2 linked regions of the Danio rerio genome follow. The protein of the gene in region 2 interacts with the protein of the main gene of each other region in a pairwise test. Links are inferred from orthologs where the notes say so. Each region holds a gene or a part of one and is shown on either strand. Other genes may lie near its edges.

What was found. The genes of interacting proteins can lie anywhere in the genome.
Region 1: the proteins of agtrap (region 2) and mief1 interact in binary tests that used the Homo sapiens proteins (3 or more experiments, as listed by UniProt). The two-hybrid records come from large-scale screens. The link is inferred for Danio rerio from reciprocal best matches to the Homo sapiens genes AGTRAP and MIEF1.

What each region holds. Positions count from the first base shown.
Region 1 is NC_133178.1:23,885,224-23,888,889, forward strand, and holds part of mief1 (mitochondrial dynamics protein MID51), read right to left. Parts: intron 2,953-3,666; 5' UTR 2,669-2,952; exon of another isoform or gene 2,665-2,668; intron 1,668-2,664; 5' UTR 1,654-1,667; coding exon 1,507-1,653; intron 896-1,506; coding exon 715-895; intron 1-714. UniProt on the Homo sapiens protein: Mitochondrial outer membrane protein which regulates mitochondrial fission/fusion dynamics.
Region 2 is NC_133186.1:18,188,920-18,191,826, reverse strand, and holds the end of agtrap (type-1 angiotensin II receptor-associated protein), read right to left. Parts: intron 737-2,907; coding exon 612-736; 3' UTR 588-611; downstream 1-587. UniProt on the Homo sapiens protein: Appears to be a negative regulator of type-1 angiotensin II receptor-mediated signaling by regulating receptor internalization as well as mechanism of receptor desensitization such as phosphorylation.

The DNA.
Region 1 (3,666 bases), on a different chromosome or scaffold from region 2:
ATGCAGGTTAGGATAGGATCAACTAAGAAGAAACCAATAGCCCAGGATTAAAAATAATAATAATAATAAATCAATATTTTTTTTGCAAGGAGAGAAACAAAATATAAAATGTCAAAAATAGGAAAACCCTTATTTCTATAATATAAAATCAAACAGCATTAAATTGACAATAAAGAGCAGTGGGGACATCAGGGAGTGGAAATGCACATGTTGTATTAACCCTTTTCACAATCCTGTTATGATGTGTTTAACGGTCTTCAGCATCTCAAATACTTGAATGTTTTTAATATTTAGATTTTTTTTTTTAAAAACGTATGAACATTTATATGTATTTACGTATGTAGCATATTGTCTTTGCTTCAAATTACAAAAAACAAATTACCGCTTGTGTGAGGCATTTCTAATGCAGCGTCTTTGGAGCAGGACAGTACATTTGACGTTATTCTCTCCTTTGGCTGCCGTTTTCAGTCTCACACAATTTTTTTTCCTTTTTCTAAAAGTCGTTTTAACACTATTGTGGATTTTTATTTTGTTATATGAGTAATTAAGATTGTACTTTTTTTTTTGTATTCTCCCATTCACTGCGCTCTAAGTTTTCCCCAACTATGACGACTTCCGCTACTGAGAAACCCAGAAATGTGAAAAGGGTCCATTATGGCAGTCTCATACAAAAGCACAGGATGTTGTTTCAGCGAGGCAGCAGAGATTCATTACCTGGCTTGAAAGAGCTGGAGGAGGTGGGCAGTGTCTGCAATGAGCGACTGACATTTTGTTTCATGTCATGGTTCAGTGTGCGTGGAGATGACCCCAACCAGCTCGGCTCCTCCCAGCTTCTCCGTCCTGATGGGTCTGCTTTTGTGGGACTGGATGGGGCACTGAGAGCTCGATCGTACATCTGAGAGTAATCACAATAAATTCTACATCAATATTTCAAGTATATTTCTAAAATGTAGTTCAGCACTAGTAACAAAGTATTTCTTAAAAGGAGGTTCAATAATAAGCTTACATGTAAACAATGTAAAAGCCACTGTTAATTTAATGCTGCAGGACAGAAATATATTACTGAACCCAACTTAAGATTGTAGCTTATTTTTTCATTTTGAAGCAATTCATGTTTTTTTATTTGTAAACATGTTTTTTTATTTTTATTTTATTTTAAATATAAATGGCTTACTTTTAACAGTTGAACCTTAAAACTTACTTTTAAACCTTTATATTATGAAAAAGTACCGCATGTGTAGCTATAAATGTTCAAAAACAACCTCAGAAAAAAAGCATTACATCATGCCACATTCATAAAGAATACAGCCTGAAATGTGATGCTTGAAGAATGTGTTAAGACTAACCTAAATTTATCAGGGACAGATAACAATATTGACATAAGCATGCACCTAATACAATTTGCATAATTTTCAAGATGTTTCGCTGTGTAGAATTAATAAAAGCCCTTCCACAATCATGGGAGATTTTATTTAGGTGTTTATAGAATTGCGTTCTTGTACTCACTCTTTTAACGGCGAGTGTGGCGATGCCCAGCATGGCAGCTCCCCCCACTCCCAGCACCAGCTTTGCATTAGAGAGCACAAAGTCGATCGCTGTGCCCAGCCCATTGTCATCTTTCTTCCCCTTGCGATCCCCGTTCACTCCTGCCATCGATCTTTACCCTCCTTGAGGAGCAAGAAGATAGGATAAGATGATGACATCAAATTTTCTCATTAACTGGAAGCTCCATAACATTCAGAGCTTAGATGCAGTTCACTCAAAGATCACATCATGTTGATCACGGGACAGTTCAGTTCTGGTAACAAATTGTGGTGTTATTAGACAAAAGACTTCGATAAGTAGGACTGAACAAAAGGGGTTTTATGGTTGCAAAGTTCTAGCTGAAAAAAATCTAATATATTAAATAGTATTTTATTTAACCTTTTACCCTTAAACAAATGAGTGCTTTTACAGCAAATATTATAGAAATATGGGAAATAATCAAATATACCTACAGCTTTGTCCTTAAATTAAACAAATCAAAAGTTAATAAGTGCTTCTAACTGAATAACAGCTGTAGCTTTAACATGAATATATATAAACACTAAATCCAACATAACGCTATTTTATATTTGACTTAAAGTATTTTTAAGACTCCCATCTAAAACCTCATTTATTAGAATACCGACTAGGAGGAATTAACTATTTAATCTGAATAAATGAATGAATATATATATATATATATATATATATATATATATATATATATATATATATATATATATATATATATAAATATATATATATATATATATATATATATATATATATAAATATATATATATATATATATAAATATATATAAATATATATATATATATATATATATATATATATATATATATATATATAAATATATATATATATATATATATATATAAATATATATATATATATATATATATATATATATATAAATATATATATATATATATATATATATATATATATATATATATATATATATATATATAATATATATATATATATATATATATATATATATATATATATATATATATATATATATATATATATATATATATATATATATTAGCTTAATATAAATATTTTAATAGCTATTTCGTAACAACCATCTCAAATATAAAAACCTGATCTTACCAACCAGTGTCTTGATGCAGATGGCCCAGTTGTTCTACACCAAATCTCCCAGGCCGCTGTTGAGGAAGAACTGGCCTCTCTTGAGCGCGTCCTCCCTCTCTGCCGGGGCGCTGAGGGTCTGACAGCGCCTGAACTCTCGGGTCACTACACGCCGGTAGTAGTCTCGGTCAGTGTACTGTAGATGTTGGCCTGCACGGAGCAGAGCTCGGTACAGCTGCAGCACAGCACTGCGGGACCAGCCGCCCATCAGGGAGAGCTCAGAGTGGCCAAAGACACGCAACTCACACGCTGGAGAAAAAGAAAATCAACACATAAGGAATAGTTCATCAAAAAAATTACATTTTCTAAGCATACATTAACCCTTAAGTAGACACGGGCCAGTATAAGGTTCTGATGGTATGATAACCTTGGATAAAAATATCATGGTTTCACAGTATTGTGATTCGTAATCTAAAATATGTTCTTTTTTTGGGTAAAAAAAAAAAACAGCAACTTTTTACCCCATTGAACATATTATATTTTATTTTATTTTAAGAAACATTTCTAATATTTTGAAGCAGTAAACATGTCAGGCTAAATAATTAGAATGAATCATTGACTTTTGCTGTTTTCATTGGTATCAAAAACGTCCGTTCTTTGTACCTTTCTTAAATGATCTAAGACAGTGGTTCTCAAACTTTTTTCATCAGGTACCACCTCTGAAAAAAAAATCTCTCCAAGTACCACCATAATGCGCAGTATTGAAATACAGTAGGTTCACAAAACCCTTGAGTACTTTTTTTGAGATTTTAACAGATTCGTGTGTGTTTAGCATAATTCAAGACAATGTTAGCATCTGTTAGCTCTAATTGTGGTGAAAACTGGATAATTTTGAGCTTTTGTCAGCTAATTTCATCTTCCGGGTTTAAAATGATTTTTGGGGCGGGATCAAAATCAGCGACGTATAGCAAAACTGCAAGTGCAAAGATGACACGTCGGTTTCTCGTTATTCTTCATAACAGA
Region 2 (2,907 bases):
GTTGGGGTTAGGGGTGGGGTTAGGTGCCATGCCTACTTTTTAAAATCATTCATTTTTGTATGACTGAACTTGTACAAATTTGTACGAATTAGCCACTAAACTGACAAAACGTAAAATACTTGCGTTTTCTTGTGAGATCAGGTTGGAAAAAAAAGTTTAAACCTTTCACAAAATGGACCAATTTTATGCTACAAAATAGTAAATGAAGAAAAGTAAAAGTAAAAAATAATAATAATGTTGTGCACACCAAAATTATAGCATCAAGGAACCTTACTGTGAAGCAGCAAATTTTGAGCTTCACAAATAACACCTTTAAAAAATCAAACAGCTTGCACTTGTACAAAGCAGTCCTAAGGTTAAAAAAAAGGTGTTGAAGGTGGGTTTTCATTTATCTCTGAGTTTTCTTCAGTAACGAGGCATCTCCAAATGTAAAGTTGTTTTCCTTCATGCTTCAACATTATATTTAATACTATTATTTATAATAATAATGATAATAATAATAAATAGGCATACAAATTAAACAAAAACATACACAAATCATGAACCAAGCAAAAATTCACATTTAGCCTGGGTTGCAAAACATTTTGCTATATATATTTTTTAATAAATGTTTAGTAGGAACGAGTGCCAGATTTGCCATCTTCCGCTTGGCCAAAGGGGTTGGCAGAGCTTCCAGATTGATCGTTGTGGTCAATAGACTGGTAGGCATCTCTGTTTCGAGATATTGATGGGAAACCTGAAATTTAAAAAAATAAGAAAAATAAATCCAGAATTAATGAATGGAAAGTCCAACTCAATCTCATGTACAATTCTTTAATGATTAGGTTTACTGGGGGGGACTTCCATGCTTACTGTTTTCAAGAAACACACACTTAAAAAAAATAAAAATACATATTGACATTGTTAACTCACCATATGATTTCTTGATATCAGCAAGAGCAATATTCAGAACCTAGCCTAATCTTTTCTCATTCATCCAGAATGATCATGATCCATTAACTGAAGAAACTTCATTAGTAAATGAGTAAACGGACACTTTTTACTGCACATTTATAGTCTAATGTTCTAAATGACATTTTAGACCTTATTTCTTTAACATGCAAAACTACTTTGTAAAAAAAAAAACTAGTAATACAAAAGGAAAGAAAAAAGAAATCAAGCCAAGTAAAACGGATCAATTTGATTTTGCTTCTATTTATTTAAGCACAACCTGAGAAGTCCAGTCTAAATAAAAAATTATTACACGATTCCCTTATAATGTGCAATAAAAACACAGGCAAATATTGACAACTAATTTAAATGCAATAAATCAGCACTTCTGTGCCCATTCAGTCAGACGTTATACAGCTAGAAAATGAACTGTTGTGTTACAGTGTGGATATTTTCGAGATAATCATGAGGGGGGACCTTCGAGACCTTCATAAAACAGTTATTATTATTATAGCAATACAAAAGTTATTATTATAAATTCCTTTTTAACATAATATTATAGCTAATTTAACTGCTGTAAAACATGTTAAATAACAGTTTCCGTATTTCGTGATTCACAAGCATTTATCCATTTATTTACGAGTAGGAATTGCATTATGGGATCTTGATCTTTGCTCTGTCGACTTTTGATGTTGAAAATTTATTCACACTTTAGTAGTTTGAAATAATATAATGTATAAGAAATTATATGTAAAGAGTAAAGAAAAAAGTCACAGAAAATGTACCATAATGCATTTCAAAAACATAAATAAACAGAAAATAAAATAAAATACACAAAATATGGAAAACTGCTAATTTAAAGGGCACCTAAACATCGTTTTTAAGCAGTTTGAACATAACTGAGTTTAGGTATAATTTGTCCACAGTCATATTGAAGTGATAAAAATACACTAAGTCTCTTTTTTTTAATTTCCTGACAGTAAAATAGGATCCAAATTTTCCCCATTTTGCGGCCCACCACAACGTGACGTAGGAGTGTGGTTCCCGTACCCACCAAAATGATTGACGTCGCGTATTAACATGTCTCTGTAGTAACGCCTATAATCATATCAACAAGACAGGACATACACAAAGAAACTGGTATCGCTGTGAACATCAATCATCATCAAATATGATCAAGAATGAGTTTTACAAATTTAAAACCTTTTTAAAACTTTATTACAGAGATTTTACCGTCTTTACTTTATCACCACAGCCACATATCAGTACAATTATAAAAGAAGAATCCCGGTTATGGACATTAAATCAAGTTTAATATGTACATTAACATAACAGATATCCACACAGCAGAGGATATTAACGTGTATCCTGTCACAACTGCGTGTGTGTGTGTGTTTGTGTGCGTGAACTAGAGGTCTGCATTCAACCCGACCAGATTTCTGCGGTGCGGTAATACATTTCCGAATAAAGCGCGGGAGCGGTCGGTAACTGGTTTAATTTTGGACGGGAGTAACTGTCCAACAATATCGCTCCCGACTTCCGAGCGAGCGAGCACGCGTATGTATGTGTGTGAATGAGACAGCAGCAAACAAGCTAAACACAGCATCACTCTGTGTGTGTGTCTGTGCGTGTGTGCGTGTACGAATGAGAGAGAAAGCTTTGTGCTGTCTGTGTGTGTGAGTGAGAGAGAGAGAAAGAGTGTGATGCCTATGTGTGTGTGTGTCACTTGCTTGGTGCTTATGTGTGTGTGTGTGTGTGTGTGTGTGTGTGTGTGTGTGTGTGTGTGTGTGTTTATACAGACAGTTTGTTATAGGCTGTCTGGACTCTGTATAGCTGGGTGGTTTTCGGTTTTGTTCTCCCCCCACTCGTTAGTGGAAACGGGCGCGGCGGGTAGAAAACGGGGCGGGTTCTCTAGCGTAAACTTTATGCAATGATGAGTCTCACACAATGACGTTCCATAGGCTTGAATTAACTCCA